Mytilus edulis: one gene and its partners. The protein of the gene in region 3 purifies or fractionates together with the protein of the main gene of each other region. This does not show direct contact. Links are inferred from orthologs where the notes say so. Each region holds a gene or a part of one and is shown on either strand. Other genes may lie near its edges.

Evidence for each region.
Region 1: the proteins of tyrosyl-DNA phosphodiesterase 1-like (region 3) and DNA repair protein XRCC1-like purify together in Homo sapiens (affinity purification with mass spectrometry; 4 studies listed by BioGRID and IntAct, with this or other methods). This does not show direct contact. The link is inferred for Mytilus edulis from reciprocal best matches to the Homo sapiens genes TDP1 and XRCC1.
Region 2: the proteins of tyrosyl-DNA phosphodiesterase 1-like (region 3) and DNA ligase 3-like purify together in Homo sapiens (affinity purification with mass spectrometry; 4 studies listed by BioGRID and IntAct, with this or other methods). This does not show direct contact. The link is inferred for Mytilus edulis from reciprocal best matches to the Homo sapiens genes TDP1 and LIG3.

Annotation. Positions count from the first base shown.
Region 1 is NC_092349.1:93,467,914-93,476,280, reverse strand, and holds the start of DNA repair protein XRCC1-like, read left to right. Parts: upstream 1-5,124; 5' UTR 5,125-5,456; coding exon 5,457-5,507; intron 5,508-6,804; coding exon 6,805-6,894; intron 6,895-8,367. Other genes in the region: uncharacterized protein, read right to left, coding at 535-1,625, 2,117-2,177. UniProt on the Homo sapiens protein: Scaffold protein involved in DNA single-strand break repair by mediating the assembly of DNA break repair protein complexes. Negatively regulates ADP-ribosyltransferase activity of PARP1 during base-excision repair in order to prevent excessive PARP1 activity.
Region 2 is NC_092356.1:45,825,564-45,834,147, forward strand, and holds the start of DNA ligase 3-like, read left to right. Parts: upstream 1-4,990; 5' UTR 4,991-5,080; intron 5,081-8,584. UniProt on the Homo sapiens protein: Isoform 3 functions as a heterodimer with DNA-repair protein XRCC1 in the nucleus and can correct defective DNA strand-break repair and sister chromatid exchange following treatment with ionizing radiation and alkylating agents.
Region 3 is NC_092346.1:49,635,520-49,643,702, reverse strand, and holds the start of tyrosyl-DNA phosphodiesterase 1-like, read right to left. Parts: upstream 3,124-8,183; 5' UTR 3,050-3,123; intron 609-3,049; 5' UTR 549-608; coding exon 1-548. Other genes in the region: B9 domain-containing protein 2-like, read left to right, coding at 5,337-5,424, 6,080-6,205, 6,983-7,296. UniProt on the Homo sapiens protein: DNA repair enzyme that can remove a variety of covalent adducts from DNA through hydrolysis of a 3'-phosphodiester bond, giving rise to DNA with a free 3' phosphate.

The DNA of each region.
Region 1 (8,367 bases), on a different chromosome or scaffold from region 3:
AAGGGGTGCGCACTATACACAAATGGGCACTATACACACCAAAAGACGGTAACTTCCTATTGTTTTTCTGATATCACTTGTGTATCAACATGTACATGAGCAAGACTTCTTTATTTAATCTTGATGTTTTTTTGTCATTTAGATAAGATTGAAATGAAATGTGGTGAACAAAAAAATGTATATATGTTAATACAAAGTTTGTACAACAGCAACTTTATGACAGAAAAGACTCACAAATTTAGAGGACCACATGCAATGTTCATCAACAGACAGGTGTCTATATAATGCATGTGTTAAGATATACATGATATAAATAATCAGTGTTCTCCCCAGGGCCTATTTCCATCATGGTAATGTGATGCTATATTTTTTGAATGTGATGCTATCTGAAGTTGTTTTCTTATAGATTGTGTTATGAATGTGATGCTATAATTTTTTAAAAACAGAATGGTATTTCAAATTTCCCTTTTAGCCAGGATGCTATATGAAATATCTGGGGAGAACACTGAATCATCTGTGTATAAGATTACAAACCTTTGTTAAATCTTCAGTCTCAGGTCTGGTCTGTTGCTGGGTAAGTTGACCCTGCTGACCTAGAGAAACTTGTGTAAGTAAATGCTGTGGAATGCTAGCTCCAGGGTGACCTTGCATTAATTTAATGGCCTCTTCCAAACTTAACTGTGTCCTCTCTGCAGGAGATACTCTATCTTGACGATAATGCGAAGATAGCTCTGGCACTGGTGACATTCGTTGATGTTTGGGAGATGGGGAAGACTTCTGAGGACCTGGCGATACACGTTTAGGTGCTGGAGAAGGTGTCTTACGTATGGTAGATACATGATATGGAGACATCCTTTCACTCTCACGACCAACGACCCCTGGTGGAGAGGATCCTGGTATATTGTGTACAGTTCTGTTAGGTGGTGGACTGTGATAGGAGGGTGACGGCCTTGGAGGGTCTACTCTGTGATAAGATGGGGATGATCTTGAAGGATCAATAGTCGGTCTATGAAATGAAGAATCTGATGAAGGTCTAATTCCATGTAACAATTGTTGTCTTAACAGTCCACCCTGGTCAAGTCCATGTGGAAGACGTATTCCCCCCTGTTCTAATCCATGTGGAGCTCTTAGTCCCCCCTGTTCTAATCCATGTGGAGCTCTCAGTCCACCCTGTTCCAATCCATGTGGAGCTCGCAGTCCACCCTGTTCTAAACCGTGTGGAGTAAATGACCGATACTGAGGCTGGGAGAAAATCTGTCCCATAAACCTTATGTCAGGGATTCTTTCTGTTGAACTTTGAACTTTAACTGGAGAAGTAGGAAGATGTTGCACTGTATGCGATGGTTCTGAAGGTTGATTTATTCCTTCTTGTGCCATTATGTGAGATGCTATAAATGATGGGGACAAACTTTTCTTTGGAGGGAGGTTGTGTAGTCTTGGTTGATTAAGTGTCTGTCCATCAAAAACAAGTCTGTCAGTAATATGATGGGTTCCCTGTCCTTCTGGTATCAATCTATCTGCCTGATATTGGATTGAACTATCTGGATGGTACTGAACAGTACTTGACATGACTGGTCTCTGATTATCACCAGATTTCTTCTTGCCATCTTTCTTTGCCTGGTTTCCTGTCAAATGTAAAGATGATTTATGTAATTGTCAGAACTATATTTTTATTGATTGACAAGTAACCATGGTAACTATTAACATACATATGACATGTATGAGCATGTATACCTCTAACAGTGGTGTCGGTAAAAAATGTTAAAATTAGTGATTGTTTCCTTTAACTTGTGATAAAACATTCAGGAAAACTATTTTCTAGTCCCAACATTTTCCTATTTATTGTTCTAGGATAATACCGTAAAATTGGTTATTTACTAAATAATGTCATTTTGGTATCTTGTGGAGAGTTGTCTCATTTGTAATCATACAACATCTTCTGTTTTTATATGTACATGATGTACAAATGTAGGTATCTAACTACATGTAGCATTCCAAAATTTACACTTTTATGTAACTGATATTAAATGCAGACAGAAGAATAAATAAATGAATGTAAAAATACATAATTAACATGCAAAAAGAATTATCAAATATAAGAAAAGTCTATAATAACCTTGTGATTTCTTCTTCTTTGGTTTTTCTGCTACGTTTTGGAGATCTTTATTTCCATCCATAATTGTCTGACTGGTTAACTGTATACAATGTTACTGTCCACTTAATGGCTACATGTACCTTCTAACTGTGTTACGTCTGACTGGTTAACTGTGTTAATTAAGGCTGACAAATGTTACTCTCCACTTAATGGCTACCTTCTAACTGTGTTAAGGCTGACAAATGTTACTCTCCACTTTAATGGCTACCTTCTAACTGTGTTACGTCTGACTTTACTGATTGTTCAACTATCTATCTACTTAAATCTGTGGCTTCCTTTTCAATTGTAAGTCTAAGACTGACTTCAGTTGATGGTTTATTCTTCACTTTAATTTATCTTAAATATGAATGAATCTGTAAAAAAACAAATATACTGAGACATGTGAGAGACCAATGTAAAAAGTTTATTTGAAACCCCTATGACAATGTACTGTGAAAAGTGGTACAACATGTACAATATCCTAAGGTAGGAATAGTCATGCAAAAATAACTTACCGTCTTTAGGTGTGTATAGTATGCATTTGTTATGCTTGTAAAGTAGTAGGTAGAGGTGGTGCCTATTATACACACCTAAAGACAGATTTTTATATGATTATTAATGTGAGGCAGGCATTACTTGTGAAAGGGGATGAAGTCTGTATGAATTATTTTTTTTTAATTCATACATATTTTAACATCAAAATGGTTAAAAAGGACACGGAAATACCGTAACATTTCCGATTTTGGTTCTGTTGTTAGGGATTTTAGTTGTGACTTTATTTAGGTTATGACATCATATTCAATGTAAACACAGAAATGCTATCATTAGGTAATGTTTTTTTTATATTAATGAATTGTTAAAAATGAATTTGGTATGGTGTTCCTTCTTATATTTTACTAGACTGATAAACGATAAATATATTTCATGTATGTTTTACTCAAAGTCTCCTGACAACAGTCAGGGGACTTACTTAAACAAGTGATTTTCTAAATCACTGATTCAAGTAACATTATTTCCATTAAGGTTGGAAGTTAGAGTTGTCTTTCTTTAATAATCACCTATTTAAGTAGTACAAATTAATCACTAGAAGTGATTTAATTTTATTGTAGCTTTAAATATAGAATACTAATGATCCAGGGCCTAATTATGTTTCGAAACTTATCAGAACCAACATTTGTGTTGTCTAGGATGACCAGGTCATTTCAGGTGATGACCTTGTACTGAATCTAGGATAATGACATACAAATCACTTATTTAAGTATCAGACCTCAATTTCCTTCCAAAAAATCACTTCTTTAAGTATCATTCTTTTAATAACCCCCACTAATTTCAACACCCCAATCAGTGAAACTTTTATCGCAAACAGTAGAATTTTATTACATAATCTGAAAGATGAAACCTTGAACTTCACAGGAAAAATACTCCCACTGCTGTGAAAAATCTTTGAAGAAAGTGTCAGTTCATTATGTAAAGCCATTATTATAGCATTTTTTCAACTAAAATAGAATTTTCAGCTAAATGATAGCATCAAAGGCATAAACCTTGCTACTTAAAAGAAGCAAAAAGTTCATATTTTTAAATTTTACTAATTAAAAGATATTATTTAACATGTTTAAACCTATGTGTTGAAAATTTTGAAAAAACTACAAAATCCCAATTTGTGACAAAACCTTGAATTTGCTACTCAAATAAGTGATTTAAAAATCACTTATTTCAGTAAGTCCCCTGTCTGGACAACGAGACCGGAAAAAGTAGGTAGATTTCTGCGCAAATGTGGGAATTTAAATAAGTCTGAAAAAAAAAAGTTAACGATTTTGAGGTCATTAGTCATGTTGTCTTTTTTAACCATTTCTACATTTGAAAATGCCTGTACCAAGTCAGAAATATGACAGTTCTTGTCCATTCGATTTTGATGTGTTTTGTCAGTTGATTTTGTTATGTGATTATGGACGTTCCGATTAGATTTTCCTCTGAATTCAGTATTTTTGTGATTTTACTTTTTAGTAGATTGAAAATTTGGGGGATGTTTTTTGTTAATTGATTTTTCTACCATTATAAGGCATGTAAGGGACTTCGTCCCCTTATCATACCTGCCAAATTATCAAAATGCCCATGGGGGTTTTGCGTGCAAGATGGCTGCCATAATCCTAAAAAACCTTCAAGGGGGGCCTTCAAATACATTGCAATGTTGTATTTTGGCTTCTTCATACTTTTATAAGCCTCAATTGATTGTAAAATTAATTATTTGTTTAAAATTGTGGACAAAATTGCTCTTCAAAAATTTCAATTTTGGAGCCTCCATGGGGGAAATCCCCTGCAAATAGTGACAGTTGGCAGGTATGCCTTATAAAAAAAAATATCAATGGTGTTTTAATTTTCATGAATGTGTAAATGTCATGTATGTTCAAGACGTTTTTTTTTTTTTATCTAATTTCTTTATTTCTAGTTTTATCAAGCTTAAATAAAAGTTTTCCTTGGAACTTCCGTCATTCCGTTATGCAAAATGTGTATGTTGAAACCTTGAGATAAAATATCTTTAAAATGTGGTAAAAAAAATAGTTTCCAATATTATTCTTCATGTTCATGATCATGATGATATTAGTCTACAATGTTTTCCTTGGAAAATATAATCATTCAATTAAATTGTTAAATTTGGTTGTTGGCTGAATTATCGAGGTCTCAATATGACTCCAGGTAGATTTGACCAGGTGATGAAGTGACTATAGAATGATAGAAGTAGAATTTGTCAAATTTCAATCTTTGACAGCTAAATCAGTAATTTTAACTAAGTCTAAAGTCATCAAAAATCAAATTAAATCAGATATCATAGACCTGGTGTTAAAAGTAAAGCTCAACATGGCTGCACTCAATTGTAACCTTTACTGGCAGTTAGCTTATTCTTACGTGTTTTTATTTCAATTTTCAGGTAAAAGATCTTCTTCAGATTTTATGTTGTTTTCAAGTGTATGAATGGGAGACAACCGAAGTGTGAACTTCCGGGAAAACAATTTGGATGATGCAAATTATAAATAGCAACAAAAAGAATAAATTTCTGCATTAAATGATAAAAGACACTTAATTAATTGAATTATTTATCCATTTAGTTCGTGAAATTGACAATTCACTCTGTAGTTCAGAGGGAGGATCTTTTCCCTCAAAGTGCCCGGAACCGTCTCTTTAATTAACATTAACATCGTATTTCCGTTGTTTGGATTCTTACAAAAACTTGCTGAATAAGGAGCTCGATTCAGTATTATGTGTATACTTTAGAATTGTAAAGTAAATGATTAATCAAATGACATTCCAGACTTAATTGGAGAACATGCCAGAAATAAAAGTGAAGCATATTGTATCCTGTAGTTGTGCTGACAAGGTAAACACATGTACAAGCTTGATCGGAATTCTGACCTGTGCTAGTGTCTTATACACCTTATCGCTAATCCCGGCTGACCCGGCAGCTTGAACTTTTGACGTCAACAACAATCACTTTTCCATTGTGGCGTCAGATATTTTGTTTTATGACGTCAAAATTTTACGGGAACCTGTGTGATTTCCAGCAATGGCAGACAAATAGCGATAAGGTGTATTCTAATGAGACTTCTAAGAGTTCCATAATAGACCACTTTCGAGTTCATCCCTCACAGAAAAAAACTTGTTAATTATGCGCGCCTTTATAACGTCATTAACCAGATAGAGGGGATCGCTTGTATCCCTGCACTATTAACGTTCATCAAGCATCTTTGTGATCATCATTGTGTAGGATAAACTAGAAATAATGTTTTGTAAGTACTCAATTACAAAATTTTCCTTAATGACAGCAGTGATGATTGTCAATTATCAAATTTTAATTCGCTGAATAATTCGTGCCCCGGCCACTTGCTCAACATTGGAACAGAAGTGACGGTGCACCTAAACACAAGAATGATGTTCACCAAAACCAGAGTTTTTGATGGAAATACATCGAACTCATAAATTGTCTATTAGAAGTTCATAGGGGGTCTCATTGGGGGTTTCTGATCCAAGATCCCTCTTACTGTTTTGTCAGATTCCAGTATCCCGCTTACACTATGTACATAAGCAATTTCTCATTTTTTTGCTAATTTCCCGTTTTCACGGCACAATAATTTGACTTTCAGGTGTCATGCTTACAAAAAATCAGCAATCCCACGTCACGCTTAGACCCCAATGGCAATGAGACCAACTTAATACTAAAAGAAGACGTTTATAGTGAAAAAAAGACTTTCTAATTTCAGTATTATACTGCCCGGATTGACCTGGGGACTACTGGCCTAGAGGAAAGCTAGTGCAAATAATAGACCCCTTTCGATAAAACATGTTCTAGTTTGTCCTTCACCTTAAAAACTTGTCAATTATGGGTGCCTTTCTGACGTCATTTACCAGATAGAGGGGATCGCCTATATCCCTGCTCTAATAACTTTCATCAAGATCTCAGTGATCATCATTGATAAACTAGGAATATTGTTTATTTAGTCGGTACTTTAACAATTACCAAATTGCTAATGAGAGCAGGGATGATTGTCAATTATGATTTTTCAATTTGCCAAAAGAATTCTTGCAATAAAGCATCATGGTTTTCTATAAAGGTATATAGGAAATTTTTCTTCTGAGATGAGTGCCTGTGTGTTAATGTTAGAGTTTGTTTATTTCAGAATAATCCAGCTGAAAATTTGTTAAAAGCAGAAGGTTCACACAAGTGGAAAACAACTGGCCAGCCTAAAAATGCTGTTGTTGTACTCCAGGTATAGTTACTATAAACCTGCAAATTCTAAGTAAACAAATTGGATCTGTATTGACCCATGTGTGACAGTTGGGCGGCTGGGCTTGATAAATAAACCTACTTGTATGAACATGTCGCTTGAATGAAGTAAATTTATAAATTTTTTGTTATTTTACCATTTTATTTATGCATTGTCAATTTTGTGTCTCGTTCTTGTATCTGTGACTCTACTTTGTAAATCTAGGGTTCACTTTAATAACCTCTCAATACCACATGTTTTACATATAAATCTAGGGTTCACTTTAATAACCTCTCAATACCACATGTTTTACATATAAATCTAGGGTTCACTTTAATAACCTCTCAATACCACATGTTTTACATATAAATCTAGGGTTCACTTTAATAACCTCTCAATACCAGATGTAAATCTAGGGTAATAATAACCTCTCAATACCAGATGTAAATCTAGGGTTCACTTTAATAACCTCTCAATACCACATGTTTTACATATAAATCTAGGGTTCACTTTAATAACCTCTCAATACCACATGTTTTACATATAAATCTAGGGTTCACTTTAATAACCTCTCAATACCAGATGTAAATCTAGGGTAATAATAACCTCTCAATACCAGATGTAAATCTAGGGTTCACTTTAATAACCTCTCAATACCACATGTTTTACATATAAATCTAGGGTTCACTTTAATAACCTCTCAATACCACATGTTTTACATATAAATCTAGGGTTCACTTTAATAACCTCTCAATACCAGATGTAAATCTAGGGTAATAATAACCTCTCAATACCACATGTTTTACATATAAATCTAGGGTTCACTTTAATAACCTCTCAATACCAGATGTAAATCTAGGGTAATAATAACCTCTCAATACCACATGTAAATCTAGGGTTCACTTTAATAACCTCTCAATACCAGATGTAAATCTAGGGTAATAATAACCTCTCAATACCAGATGTAAATCTAGGGTTCACTTTAATAACCTCTCAATACCACATGTTTTACATATAAATCTAGGGTTCACTTTAATAACCTCTCAATACCACATGTTTTACATATAAATCTAGGGTTCACTTTAATAACCTCTCAATACCAGATGTAAATCTAGGGTAATAATAACCTCTCAATACCACATGTTTTACATATAAATCTAGGGTTCACTTTAATAACCTCTCAATACCAGATGTAAATCTAGGGTAATAATAACCTCTCAATACCAGATGTAAATCTAGGGTTCACTTTAATAACCTCTCAATACCAGATGTAAATCTAGGGTAATAATAACCTCTCAATACCAGATGTAAATCTAGGGTTCACTTTAATAACCTCTCAATACCAGATGTAAATCTAGGGTTTACTTTAATAACCTCTCAATACCAGATGTTTTACATATTTAAATCTAGGGTTCACTTTAATAACCTCTCAATACCAGATGTTTTACTTTAATAACCTCTCAATACCAGATGTTT
Region 2 (8,584 bases), on a different chromosome or scaffold from region 3:
AAGTTTGGTTAAATTTGGCAAAGTAGTTTCAGAGAAGAAGATTTTTAGAAAAGTAACAAAAAATGACGAAAAGTTGTTAAAAATTTACTATAAAGGGCAATAACTCCTTAAAGGGTCGACTGACCATTTTGGTCATGTTGACTTATTTGTAGGTCTTACTTTGCTGAACATTATTGCTGTTTACAGTTTATCTCTATCTATAATAGTATTCAAGATAATAACCAAAAACTGCAAAATTTCCTTAAAATAACCATTTCAGAGGCAGCAACCCAACAACAGGTTGTCCGATTCGTCTGAAAATTTCAGGGCAGATAGATCTTGACCTGATCAACAAATTTACCCCGTCAGATTTGCTCTAAATGCTTTGGTTTTTGAGTTATAAGCCAAAAACTGCATTTTACCCCTATGTTCTATTTTTAGCCATGGCGGCCATCTTGGTAGGTTTGACGGGTCACGCCACACATTTTTTAAACTAGATACCCCAAGGATGATTGTGGCCAAGTTTGGTAGAATTTGGCCAAGTAGTTTCAGAGGAGAAGATTTTTGTAAAAGTTTACAGACGACGGACGCCAAGTGATGAGAAAAGCTCACTTGACCTTTCAGGTCAGGTGAGCTAAAAAGGAGCTGGGCTAAAGGAACATTAAAACTCACAAGTTAGAAATAAAAGGACAATGGCATGGCTAAAAAGAATCTGTAAACAAAGCAAATCCACCAATACACATTTTATACTGCAACTTGTTGTGCTAATTTCCTAAATATAGTAACATAGCTATATTTTGTATAATGTCAATTTCATCATGGAACACTTTCTCCACAATTAGGGGTCCATTAAGTGATGAAAATAAGTTTGACATTTGTGTTACGATTTAAAAAGCTCTCATGCAGTGTAATAATTTATGTTGCAGCATAAAAACAATATTAGGTCAATTTCATAAAAGTATAAAAAAATGTTTTACTCATGCAAAACTGGAGAAGGGCAGGGCTGCCAAGTCTCAGGCATTTAGCGTTAGACTCAAGCATGTTTATGATTTTTTGGTGGAATTTTACTTTGATCTATTGTTTTTTCTCTTTGATCTTTTCAATTTTGGCCAAATCTCATGCCCGCATTTGCTTCATGAAAAGTTGACATAACTGGGAGGGCTCGGTAGAACCTTGCCTTTTCCCAGTTTCTCAGTCTCATACAAAACAGTTTATATTTTCCTGACATTGACCTAATATTGTATATATCTGGTTTACCAACTCCAGAAGCAGTTATACACTTATTTTGTCTAACAGTATATATGCAGATCTAAAGCTTGCTGCACCTCAAGAAAGTGGAAAATTACATAAAGACGACGAGGAATTGAAAACAACAAAAAGTATAACAGCTGGTTTATTGTTAACAAAGCTGTCTTCTTGAAAAAAAGTTGTGTGTTCCATATTTGTACGAATTTTAAATAAGTTAGTCTGAAACACAATGGAAAAACAAAAAGTCAACAATTCTGGCCAGACTGAGTTATAAACAAGAGATGACAATATTAATGTTGCTTTCTTTAATTTTTTCTTGGTGGAATATATAATTTTGTCAAACGTCATCCCAATATGCTGGTTTTATTTAAAATTTTACTGCGACGTGACCAAAGCTTAGTATTGCGGTTTACCTTTGCCTGCTGGTCAACCAGATTGTAAAATTGATTATATGATTGGAACATTTAAATTTACCAGTTGTAATTAATTTTTCCCAAAATATTTTTTTTTTCTCACATGAATTATATTAAATATATTTGTCTTATCAAAACCTAGCTTTTTGTGTTCTGCTAAGGGAGCCAGAGGCCCCCCTTTTCTGTGAAAAATTTGGTTGATTATACAGGGAATCACTGGAATGGGCCCCCTCTTAGGCAGTCAGTGGGTCCCCACTAATGAAAATTTCGATATCCACCACTGGGAGCAACCATTTAACTTCAAGGGGGTTTATGTTTTATTTTTAGTCAGAATTTTTTTCACGATCAATTAGATTATTTTTTCAAAATTTTACACTATACTTAAGGTATGTAGGGAATTGGCATTCAGAATATTTTTTTTTACAAATTTAAACAAAAACCCCACTAGAAGTTAAATTGTTGTTTCCTAAGTAGAGTTTACATTTTAATTTAAAAGCAGTGTTGACAATATTTATGAGACCATCAGAGCTCATACGAAACACTCCTGCAGATTTCAAACCTTCCATCATAAAAAAACTCGTAGAATGCCCTCAATTGCATTGGAGACCTTTGATATAATTAATAAAAAATGTCCTTTATTTATTCAAGATTTAGTTGTAATAAAAAACAATTCATATAATTTCAGGTATGTGAATGATAACTGAGGTACCTAGACCTAGAATCTCAAGTTATGGTAAAAGATCCTTTAGATTTGAGGCAGCACAAGTATGGAACTCCATTCCTAATGAGGCTAGACTCATGACTTCTTTTGACCAGTTTAGGAATTATATAAATTCCTGGTGTGGGGGTCAAAAATGTAACAGCAGTTCATGTCGTTTCCATCCAGTGCTGTCTCAAAGCTGAAATTTCTTTCTTTCTTTTTATAATGGCCTTTTGCTCTGCTTTTATGCATTTATTGAATGTATCTGCCACTAAATGCTAGTGCTTACATTTATTTATTTATTGTTTTTATGCTTTTAGTCTGTTATTATGCTTCAAATGATGCTTGTCATGCTGAGCTTGGTAGAATTCCACTCAAAAATAAAATTGTTTTTTCAAGCATAAATTTTTTAGAGCATATACTTTCATCAGAAAATACACTTGTAAATCAAAATTTCTGTTCCACAAGATTTTAAAACCCCTGTATCCTTAAAACTTCGTGCATTTTACACAAATTAGGATATTCATATCTTGTTGATTCACTAAACAATTTAAATGATAGAGCAGCAATATGCAAAATATGCACAAGTGCACATCCTTTAATGATTGAAAGGGGAAGACATCTAATTAATATTCCTAGAGAGGAAAGATTATAACTGTCCTGTCTGTAAAAATTGGGAAAATGAGGATGAAAAACATTTCTTATTAAAATGTAATAGATTTACCTCAAAGCGAGAAATATTGGAAAATAAAATAAATGTTATATTTCAAATACAGCGTAACATTACCATTGATGAAAAAATATCTCTATTGGTTAATAATAGCTCAGCATTATTACTAGACTGTCTTCCTCTTTCATATCAGAGTGTCTTAATATAAGAAATAGTGATCTTATATGATACATCATTTTGTAACTTTTCATAATAGCATGATATGTTATCATGGAACCTTTCATTCTACCATGTCAATTATTATAGTTATATGTAATGGCATAGGTCATAACCATTTATTGTTAATGAGTTTGTGCCAATAAAAATATTTGTATTTGTATTATTTAATGATTTTCAAGTGATTTGCCGACTCCCCTGTTCAATGCACATAGAGGCGCTTGCCAAATGAACTTTGACTCGGGAGGCTCACAGATCAAATATATTTGCTTCCATTATACTTGCATGCTTTTTTCATTTTTATTTGATAGTATTTGCATGAAGCTGCATGATTTGTTTATGTGATAGTGTAAAGCAAAATTAAATCCGGGTGAAATTTGATCCGGAGGAAAAAATGTCACAGTAGTTGTTGTTATTTTTTTATCCGGTGGAATATATTTCCCTGGGATCTTTTTTCCTTTGCCGTGAAATTCTATCTGGGTAGTTATCTTATTGAATAGTTATTAGAAAAAACTTATCCTTTAAAAATACTATGAAATAATAATAGTGTATTTGAAATAAAGCGAAATTGTTAAAAAAAATGTATTATAATGGGAAATAATTTCACAAATTATCCGTGAAAAAATTTCCTGAAATATTCAAGTCAATATCATCCTTTTAAAAAAAAAATTATCATGAAACATAGGGAAGAAAACCAGAAGTAATTTCAAAGATCCTTATTGTGAAAATAATATCATGATTAAATAAGGTTAGTGAAATACATGTAAAAGTGAGTTGTTTTCAGATCTCAGTACAAATATAAATTTAAAAGTAAGGTAGAAATATAGTTGCATTACTACTGTTAACAGTAATAGAAGAATTTGATTATGATGATATTTTTAACTATATAAATAGTTTTGTCTGGGGACAGAGATGTAGTTGTTGATTATATGGAAATCAGATAAATCATAGCATAACAATATATTTGAACAAAAGCATGTTTAACAGCTGGATAGTTTTTACCTGTGAAATGTTATCTGTCTTATTAAATCAAGTTGTAAGTCAACTTTTTATATAAATAAATATATAAAAAAATAAGATTCAAGGACAAACACTATAAAATAGATTCAGAAATGTATTATATTAATATCTTTAAAATATAAATTGCTCATAATTATCTCCCTTTGATAAATTATGCAAATTTGGTCTACCTTTGTGAAACATTTTATAATTATAGTCAGGTATATCAGGGGGATGGGGCTATGGTTTTTTTTTGGAAAAAAAAGTTTGTTTCCAGTTTTTGGAGAAAAAAATAATTTGTTTTTGATTCTGAGAAAAAAAAAATGTTTGTTTCACCCTCAGCTGCCACTATATGTAATGCTAAAATTGAAAGAAAAAAATTGTTTTCGACTTGTCGCGAAAAAAATAGATTGTTTTTCACAAATATATACCGGTACATACTATCCGCATAACACAGATAGATTTTCACTCCTCTGGAAAAAATCAACCTGTGAAATACCATGCCTGGAAAAAAATTACCGGGACAAATTATCCACAGGATAAAATATCCCATAGGAAGAAATAAACCGTTACAATAGTCGGTTAAAGAGCTCACCAGAGCTCATGTTTTGTCTGTTATTGTGTATATATATGACGACTCTGAATAAAATTGTCTTACTTACTTACTTTCTTACTTACTAACACTACTATGTAAATTTCCCTTAATATCTTGTGAGATTTGGGTAGATTCTCGGGATTGCACTCAGGTTTTTATAACTTTTCGCTCTCCTTTTTAAAGATAAATTTGTCTGTTTACATTGTTTTGAAAAATCGCAAACCTCTGCAAAATTGTTTTGTGTTGTGTTGAAATTTCAAGTAAGAATTCAAAAAACAAATCCCCAGCCGTCAAAAACAGGCGTGTCATCCTGCATGCATCATTGTATTTTTTGCAAAATGTTTGTGCGAAAAGAATGTGTTCCAATGACAAGAACTGCCACTTCGGCACTTGGTTGAAAACTTTTTACATTGCGTATTATTTTTTTTCCATAATTTTTCTTAGTCAACTTTTACATATTATACCCCAGACCGTGTAAAGAGTAGGTATCGGACTCCTGAGTCTCTGATCCTTTATATCTGGCTTTGTAGAATCTAACACTAGCAATTCATAGTTTATTATAATAAATTACAATTATTAATTAAGCAAATATCAACAATATTATAAAGATAAAAGTATTCAAATGTAAATAATTTAAAACTCTCATAAAAGTGACAAAATATGGCGAGGTCTGTGCAGCAAGACTGAAGATAGACATTTTGTTCTATATATCAGGTTGGGAACAAACCCTCTATATCAGTTGAACGGCAAACGATTTAATGGCTTCTAAGTTCAAGACATTGGTCACGTGATAAAAGGTCAGAGTTTACGATTTTTTTGTAAACGTGCATGCCTCGTGGTTTTTAGACTCGTATCGTCTTATTTGTACTCGTACATTAATAAAAACCAAAGTGTTCAATTCTAGATTGAATAAGCTTTCTTATTTTATATAATTATAATAAAAAAGTATTGTTAAAATGTTATAAATTCACGAGCAAAGTGAAACTTTTTTTCGGAAAATTTGCGTAGGTCCACGGAAAATCCTTAATAAATCCTTAAATAGGTTTGGTAACGTGTTGAGAGGTATAAAATATGAAGTAAAACCATTTTTTGCTCCTAATATTACAATATCAGATCACAAAAACCCCGGATACGCAATTCTGTCAGATTATTCGTGGCGAAGCGGAGATCAAAGGGAGATAACTCGGTACGCGCATCGTAGGAAATTGCAAGTTCACAATAGTAAATATGAGTAAAATTAATGATTGCAGATCTATTTCGACGAGTTCTTGAATACCGTTCAATATTCCATGTTCCTCTACTGTTAAACATTAAAATAGTCATGGAAGTTCAAGTTCTTACAGGTTTTTGAACACTTCCAAAGAAGACACTTACCAACATTTTATATCAGACTGACTCTCTGAAACTTGAATATATTGTATATATTCTCAAACACCCTTTTAGTAGATACAAGGATACAAGATGGGTTTATCAGTCATTTGTCAGAAGAACCTGTGTAACAATAGAAGCAGAAGCAGAAGATTACATTTAAACAAAAATATGGGGGAAAAAAGGAAATACATGTATATAGTCTTCAAAATTGTTACCATTACCATAGATTGAAAATAAAATCAATCTGAAGTAGCCAGAAGTACATGTACAATTTTTGTTTTATTATAGCTGCTTTAAGATACAGTTGCAGATGATGATGATTGGAACCTCCTCTTTTTATGGCAGATTAATGCATTTGAATGGGATCATGCATATAGTTGGAACCCTCCTTTTTATCCTTAGTTGAGAATACCACCACTTATGTTTAAAATTTTCTGGATTCACCCTGAGATAAGAAACTACATAAGTTGTACAAGTTCTGTTGCTTGCCTTAATCAAGAGAAAAAATCTGAACATTCAAAGAACCAGAAAGGGATTTAAAACATAATAATCAACACAAAGATCACTGAACAAAAGCTGTATTGTAATCTGATATATCCTGCAGTTATCATAAATCCTGTTATATGTATAAATATTTGAAGTTTTGCTTTATATTTTTTCTTCTTTCTTATATTTGAATTCAAAAGTCCTGCAACCAACTGTTAAGTGCTTGATAATCAATTATTGATTGGATAATAACATCAGCTGACCAGTAAATAAAATTTGAAAATGCTTAGTTGAAATAAAATAGTGGTATTATGTCATTAGATATACTGAATCAACTTCAAATTTAATCCAAATTCACATTTACCTGCACTAAAATGCATAGTCAATTGAACTACAAAAACCTGAGACTACTTCAATGTATAACATAGAGATTGTGGTCACCTCCCATGTTATAGTAGTCTTAAACAAAAACAAAACTGACTTCACTTAAATACAGTATGTTCAGAATTTTTTTGAAAAAGGACAAAGTTCAAAAAGAAATTTATTATTCTGATATCAGAAATAATCTCATAGTATCAAAGCAGAATGTCAGTTCTTTTAATTGAGATAACCAGTTTAATCACATTATTTACTTTTATAAAAAAAAATGATATCTGGATTTACAATCATTGACTAAGCTTGTCATCAACTCACTTACTTTACAAATGCTTTTAAAAGTTAACCTGTCAGTACTAAAATAAATAATTGTGGTATAAGACAAGATATTTTATTCAAATTAAAGGGCATATGAAGAGCAAAGTAATGTACATGTATTACAATGATTTATATATGTGTATATATAATGGATCAATGATGTTGATATAAATCAGATAAATATGGAGATAACCAACTCCATTCTTAGATTTTAAACCACAGCTAGTTCAGAGCCACACATATATTTGAAAAGGCATATAATAATTATATCTTCAATTAACAGGCAAATGTTTCCAAATGCCCAATTTAAACATTATCTGTACTCTCTATATATATTGATAACTTTCTGAGTTCAAACCATTTATTTTAAATTGCAACACAGTCACTTTTCAATGCCTCTAGGTTTTCTTGAATAAAAAGCCAATTAGATTTGTCACTTGTGCTTAACTTTTCACAACTTTTTTTTAACTTATTATTATATTATAATTAAATTCTTTTCTTAAAAACTTATAAAGGGGAAACTGACATTTATGGTATAGTTGCCAATGACATAACAGCCTGGAAACTTATCACCAGAGTCCAAGTCTCTGTTAGCAGTGACAGTTAAATTACAAGTCACTTGACATACATCAACAATTAATACATTCCATTGTTTTAAGGCAAATGAGGAAAATAAGAGTAACAAAAGCTTTTGCCTTACTACATGCACAAGAGAATATTAGAAATTATAATATAAATTAGAAAATATCAGAGGCAAAAAAGACAGGACTTAGCCACTGGACTTTTAGTAAAGTACCCTTACTAACCCTTAGAGGAGCTGCTGTATACTAGAAAAAATTATATTGATGATTTGACCCCATCAATCAGCATTTTAGCATTACATTATTGTCAATTGCTATCTGCTCTATTTGTTCCAACCTGTCATGAGAGTCAAAATGTATTCCTAGGGTGGGAATTAAACCCATGTACGTTCATTTAATTTATTGTTCTTTGTGTACACAAAATGTACATGTCCATGAAATATATCAAATGCAAAAAATGCTGTAATGTATCATTACACCCTCATTAGTTAAGGACCAAGTAAAAGAAGTCCCTGCACCTACCTAGACGTATTTCTTGGGTAAGATTTATTATATAACTATTGAAAGTATAACACCATAAAGGTTATTGGTAAGTATATAGTAACATCAACGTGCAATTCAAGTAAACAAACT
Region 3 (8,183 bases):
GAGGACTTAGTCACACTTTCTGATGATGGTTTTGTTCTCTTGTCATGTGACTTAGTCAAAGTTTCTGGTGACAACTTTGTCTTCTTGTCTATTGACTTAGTCAAAGTTTCTGATGATGGCTTTGATCTCTTCTCGATTGACTTAGTCAAAGTTTCTGATGATGGCTTTGTTCTGTTGTCTAGTGACTTTGAAAAACATTCTGATGATGATTTTGTTGTCTTTTCTTGTGACTTAAGCTTAGTCAAAGTTGCTGATGATTTATTACTTTGTTTAACAAGTGATTTAGATTCGTTTTGTTCAGATGTGGATTTCAATGAGTTAAATAATGAAGATTTTCCTTTCCCTTTAGAAGTCCCTTTCAAAATGAAATATTCTTCACTTTCCTCTTCAGACTCTGAAATCTCATGAACTTCACTTCTTCTTTTACTTAATGACGGAAGATTTACTGGTGATTTGTGTGGTGATTCAGTGGTCACGTCACTATCTTCTGGTCCAACAGTAATATCCGAGTCTGTATCAGATACATGATGACCTCCCTTTGCAGACATAAGATCAAAATGATTCCAATATATATATCAAAGTGTGGAATTTAATTTACATTTTTTTTCCTAAAAAAAATAAATTTACCATGAATTTTTTTAAATTACATACCATATTACAAATAGGTTATTTTTACCTCCTGGTAATAGAAAGGGACAACATCAGAAAGCAAAGGACAGTATAAACAAGGTTTGTCCCTTTTTTGGGAGGTTCTAGATAGAATAAACTCATCATAGATATAAGGATTCAAATTTTATATATATGCCAGACACACAATTTTCGTCTACAAAAAGACTCATCAGTGAAGCTGGAATCAAAATATGTTAAAAAGGCCAAATAAAGTACAACGTTGAAGAAATGACAATATTAATTTATGCACAAAAAACAATCTTAAATATATACAATTATCATTCATTAATAACAGGCCATTAATGGAAGGTTAAATCAATACGGAATATTCTACAAATTATATCCAATTGATTCTTATATACTAGTATAGGGTGATTCAGTTTTATAAAGGTCTACTTTAGCAACAGACACAATCCGATTTTTTGGGAAAGTTTTGTATACATTCTGTTGGCCTGAGCTGACAATGGCTGAGGTACAAATTATTCTTACACTAGGAAAGTACAGTACATAGTGTTGTTACATGTATATGCAAATTCCTTCTATCGATTCTATTTGAATGAATTAATATAGTAATCATTAAAGACCCATCCAATAAACAGATTACCTGTAACAACAGATTATGACACCTGTTGTTACCATTGATTAGTTTGGGGTCTTAAACAAAGTCATAATAGTTATCAAAGGTACCACTAGCAGAATTATAATTTAGTACGCCAGACACGTGTTTCGTCTACATAAGACTCATCAGTGACGCTCATATCAAAATATTTATAAAGCCAAACAAGTACAAAGTTGAAGAGCATTGAAGATTCAAAATTCCAAAAAGTTGTGCCAAATATATGGCTAAGTACGTAATCTATGCCTGGGATAAGAAAATCCTTAGTTTTTTTCGAAAAATTCAAAGTTTTGTAAACAGGAAATTCATAAAAATGACCACATCATTGATATTCATGTTGACACCGAAGTGTTGACTACTGGGCTGGTGATACCTTCCGGGACGAAATGTCCACCAGCAGTGGCATCGACCCATGAGTGGTGTAAATAGTTATCAAAGGTACCAGGATTATAATTTAGTACAGCAGACAAGCGTTTCGTCAACATAAGATTCATCAGTGATGCTCATATGGAAAAGCAATCTAATTAAAACCGATCTCTTATTGCTCCTGTTTCTGATGTCGCGTGGGAGATCTAACGAAACCTGCTTTGAGGTCACATGTGAGTGACCTCGTAGGTGTGTCTTTTTCGACCAATGAAATTGAGTCTTCCACGATCTTGAAAGTTTAATGAAAGGTAAAGGGATGTAACTCATTTTATTTACGACGAAATCGTCAGTCAAAATAATTCATAAACTTTTTTGATTGGCTTACTAATAGGTCATCAACTCATTTGCATATCATTATAAATTTATAACTTTTAGTTCACTCACATGTGACCTCAAAGCCGGTTTCGTTAGATCTCCCATGCGACATATCAGAAAACGGGAGCGATGAGAGATCGGTTTTTAATTAGATTGATGGAAAAGTGATTGTTGTATGATGTCAAACGTTCAAGCGGAACAGATTCCAGGGTCATGCCAGACAGATTTCTAAAAATAAAGAATTTATCAATTATTATCGTTATTGTTTATACATGTATTTAAGGTTCATCATAAGGAATTGAAAAATATGGCCGTGTTTACACCTCCAAAATTACTATGAGTACAGACAAACTGGTACATCCAGGAAAGTTTTAAGGCATGGCAGGAACTAGATATATAAAAGTTATATGAAGTCTACGTTTCAGAAAATTAAAAACTTACCTGGATTTTGATGTTCATTTTTTTCCAGTCTGCAGAAGATAGCAAAATAAACAAACACCCGAGTTTCATTTGATACGGTCCATTCAGTGACACAGTTTAAACCTGTTAAATCACCTATTGTTTACAGGTGTCTATTGTCCATTTAAATCAATACTACTCACAACATTCATTATATGAGGGGAGCTTCTCAATCGTTTTCACTACTTAGTTAATTTTTGCACCTTCTGCAGGAACGAAAAAAAATGGATAGCAAAATCTAGAAAAGTTTATAATTTTCTGAAACATAAAATGCATTTAAAATTTATATATCTAGTTCCTGCCATCCCTTAAAACTGTTGCAGGTGTATAGGTTAGTCTGTACTCAGAGTAAAATTTGGGGTGTAAATAAGGCCATTTTAGCCAAAAGGTTATGATGAACCTTAAAGCATTGGACAATGTGTTTTATTCCTTCTCCAGAACAGGAATTGGTTATTAGACGTAAAATGCAAGAGCACACGTGTAAATTTATATGAGAGATTGATGATTGTTTATGAGGGAGATGCAGGATGTTGATTATTTATAAGCTATGAATTTTACACTGACAAATATGATAAGTTGTCATTATCTTGATAGAACTCACACATGTGCCAAATCAGCATTTGTTTACTAATTATTTTCGGATGTTATTATTTCATATTTTATTTTTAAAAGCGTTTAACAAAGAGTTTCATTTTAAATAGCAACTAATTATTCATCCAAGATCAATTTATTTTGATAAATAGGATTTATGCAAAATACGAAAATATCAAATTGTTAATGTCAACAAAAATGGTGGACAGGAATGAACATTAACAATTTATTCTAAAGAAAATGAAATTTCCTGATATATAAGATATCAGAGAAGCCTAAATCAGAAAAGTTTTAACCATTTAATAACAAAATTACTGAATTCAGCATTTTATCTACTTAAATTACGGCGTGGTAAGCAAAAAGAGAGTTTAAAGTGCCTTGGCCATGTTCGAACTTGAATTTTCCTAGCGGGTTTTAATTACTTTTGATTTTTATGTTCGAAAAGACGGGTTGGGCATGTCAAATAAAATGGTTTGCCAATTTAACTACAAGATTCATTTAATTGCTTTCTTTCTGTTTGAAATATTTATCACAAAAGGAAAGAGACACCAGATGGTTAGAGTTATGGTATCAGGTCCGTTAACGCCCAATACACTTTCGCACCCTACACGTTTGCTCCTCGCAGGTTTGCACCCAAGGTCCGTTCGCACTCTACACGTTTGGGCCCAAAAAAAAACCACAAAAGATAATTGTTTTTGATAGCTTGGTCACTTTGATCTGAAACAATTAAACAATAAAATAAAGCAATACACTATTATAACCAAAACAAGATAAAATTTATTCAACACACAAAAAAAAAACGTAGTCAAAATCTCACTTAGTTGTTTTGAAACAAGTCAATGAAACAAAGTTATAGGAATACAGTAACCAAAACATGATTAAGAGTTATTCAACACAAAATAAAACGTTGACAGAATCCCACTTTATTTATAGAAAGGATTATATTTTTTTTAACAATACACTATCCAAAACATGATTAAGATTTATTCAACACAAAAATAAAATGCTGTCTCACTTTATTTTAAGACAATGACAAGAAGAATACTCTTACCAAAACTTGCATGATTACAAAAAAAACCAATTAAAATTGGGCGTGAACATGTAGGGTGCGAACAGACTTTGGGTGCGAGCATGTAGGGTGGGAAAGTGAAAGGGGCGAACATGAGTGGGTGCAAACGTGAATGGGCGCGAACGGATCCGGATTCTAGAGTTATAATTGAAAAATGCATATGTTGCAAACATTGTTTATAATACATATGTAAATACCAAAGAGAGAACTTTCTGTGTTATTCAATACTACATAATTCATAAAGCTATCACATGAATCCATTTACAAATTTCCTTAAAGAAGAAGACTAGTACTGCAATAATGACTTTGAGGCCACATCAATTTAATTCCTTATTTGACAGACCTGGCCGCACCTATTTTATTCGAAACAGAAATAAATTTTAAGATTTATATTCCTGCTTCCCGCATCCGGAAATATAATCCTGTCTGTTTTTTGGTAAATATTATAAAAAAATATTAACCCTTAATTTAAAATCACAGTCTTACCTGCTTACCTGTATTTAATGATTTTAAACCTATAAGCACCCCACCACACTATGTAAATGTTTTTGTAAAAATTTGATTAAACATTAAACCCATATATCCAAAGTGGGAGTGCTCTGATATAAATATATAACAAGGGGAAAATACCTGTACATTAGTTTTCTTCCCCCTCACCTACATTCCCGGCCCATCAAAAAATGTTCGTTGTCAAAATAGAGAATGCAGAACTTCTGAAGGAGAAGAGTTGCCTTCAACTGCAATTATATTGTATGCCAGCGGAACGAAACTATCCATACCCACTGCATGTTTATGCACCTGTCCGCATTGATTCTGGGTCTATTGTTCAGTAGTAACATGTATCGTTTGTTGGTGTGGTTCTGTTCATATGTATTTTCCCGTTTGTATATATATGTAAATTAGATCGTTGGTTTCCCTCTTTGAATTGTGTACACTAGCATGACTAGTAATTTTGGAGTCCCTTTAATTTGACTTTTGATACATTTTATACATAAAAATGTACAACATAAAATTAAGAATGGAAATGGGGAACATGAACATATAATGTACTTTTGGAAATGTATTTGAGAGAATTCAATTGAATTACATATATATATGTGAAATAAGTGAGTTTTAAATTGTGTAATTTTATTTTTTTCCTCCGACATAATTGAATCTTGAATAGAGTAATTGATTTATTTTTACAGAATCATGGCAGAAGTACATATCATAGGACAGATTCTTGGTGCTGATGGATTTCCAGATCATAGTTTGTTTTGTAAATGGGGTATACATACAGGTGTGTTGAAATAGACTTATTAAACAACATATACATACATTTTTTTAAAACTTATTTTGAATAAACTTTGACTAGTTCTTTAGAATTATAAAGACTGTGAAATAGCAAGCAAACATAAAAAACATTCAAAATTAAACTTACTTGTAGTCTTCAGCAAAATTTTGAAGAAAATAATCTGTTTGAAGAAAATCTGATTAGAGAATTTGTTTTGTCTGTATATTAGCCCTTTTTCAGTGTGTTATGATTGATTATGCAGTGTAACCTGACTTTTCTGACACCTGAGTGTTCCAACATCCTGCTTTAACCGACACATTTTCATGGTCCCAATTTGCTTAACCTTGCAAAAAAAAAACCTGCCAGAGTATTCCGACACCCTGCTGAATCCAACATTTTTTCTGGTCCTCCAGTATGTCAGATAACACAGGATACACATTATTCAAATTCAGTAAATAGTTTTCTTCATTGTTATTGACCTACATTGTATATCCATAAACAATGTGCATGATTAAAGTGTTAACTTACATTCACCAATGAAGACCACAAAGTCAAAGTCCAGTGTTAGTTATTTGTTTTTATACTATAAGATATTTTTTTATGTAAAACTACATGTACCTCATATATCAATTCATATTTATGATATATTTTGTATTATCAGGAGGAGCATGGAAAGCTTTGTCTGGTCTAAGAGAAGGACAAACACAAGTAGATAACCCACAAAATTATGATGAAGCATACTGGGCTCATCCAATAGATGTTCACTTTACAACCAAAGGTTTACAAGGTAATTTGTTCAATTAAAACAATATTAAATATTACACTTCAGTTCTTATCAAAATATCAGATTTTGATTGGTTTATACAAGGGAGATAATTGACTCTACCCAATTTCCAATACTCTATTACCCTTCATGGAGATGCTTTATCAAGTGTGTGTTTTATTTAGTATAGATGGTTGTTATGTACAAGACATCATAGTTTATTACTTAGAATTTAAAATTAAAAGGACAGTAATAACAGAACTTTCAGAACAATCAGTATAATGAATTAAATAACAAATATATCTTAAAGTGTTATAGAGCAGATTGTAACCCCTCAAAAAGACATTGTCAACCTTGGCTATGCCTCAGTTGTCATAAATACCAAATAACCTGAATGACAAAACAAGTTAAAAAAACCACTGAAGTGGATTGTGAGAATCCTTACATTGTACAGGCACATGAACATATGCCAGCCTGAACTACTGTTTTATCTTAAGAATTACAAGTAAACCTCCCTTTTTTGGCTTCTAACAGTTGAATGACAATGAAAGGATACTATGATAATAAGTACAAGAAAACAACTAGCCTTATAAAATTCTTATAAAAGATAGTAAAACACACAATGACAATAAACACAAAACATATAATAAACAAAATTGCATCAAGGAATATTTTGATTTTATGAATTATTTTGTCAACTTGAACATAAATACTCCACGTAAAATATACAAGACATGACTCCTTAAACTTGCAAGTTTGATTGAAGATAAATCTTTAAATAAATTTAAAAACTTTTTTCAGGTTGGCCAAAAATTCATTTTCAAGTTTGGCATCAGGATTCTTTTGGACGGAATGAACTATATGGATATGGATTTTGCCATGTGCCTACATCACCTGGTACCCATAAAATTTCATGTCCAACATGGAGACCAGCAGGAACATTTAGAGAACAAGTTTCTCAATATTTTGTTGGTGGAGGACCACAGCTGAAGAATCCTGATCTGATTTACAGTGGAGCTGATAGATACAGACTAAATACAGTTGCCATGGGCAATGTTCACATGAATATAGGTGTTGTTCTTAGAAACTTTGACAAATATGGAATTGAATGTTGATTTTTGAAAAAAATGTAATTTATACATTATTTTTTAAATGATACCAGAGGCATGACGCAAATTTTTTATTTCAGAAATATTCAACAGCTCTTTCTGAATTTATTTCATAGATTCATTTTGATAATTTGAACTTATTTGATACAAATTGGTTTCTTTAAGTCGGCACCAAATACAATTGTCGTTCTCCATGGCTAGTGATTGATTTGGCATATTAGCAAAATATCATCTAAATTTCAAACAATAATTAATTTGTGTCCATGAATTAAATGAAATATCCTTAGTCTGCCTCTATTAAACACGCAGTTATATTTTGGTCATTTGGTAAGAAAATTTTGATTGACCGAAGTTTCAAAAACAAGCTATGGTTAACATTGAAAGGAATGGAGAGTCAATGTTCTTAATTTATTTTTATTATTTTTTATGTAATTATGCTAATAGTGATTTATTATCTAATAAATTTATACTTTGATTTCTCATCAGTCAGGATTTTCCATTTTGAATTTATCAAACATTATATAGGCATTATATATATTTTAATATAACTATAGTAAGATTTATGGTGTTTAATTATGTCAGTTTATGAAAATCAAATGGTTGTATTTTGTTGCGTTGTTAAAGATTATGATGGTATTTTTTTGATATTTTTTTGGTGATTTGTAAAAGGGTTCACAAGTTAGTCTCCAGTCTCCTAGCTTTATAAATACAATGGAGATGTTAGCAAGTGGTTCAGGAATATGGTTGTTTGGAGAAAAGGTTTTGTGAGCTAAATCTATTTGGAAAAAGGTGAAATTTGCATTAGGCTTAACATGGAATTCCAAAGAAATATATCTTTTGATTTTTGATTTTGTCCATTCAAAATTTATGTTTAGAACATGACACACATAGTG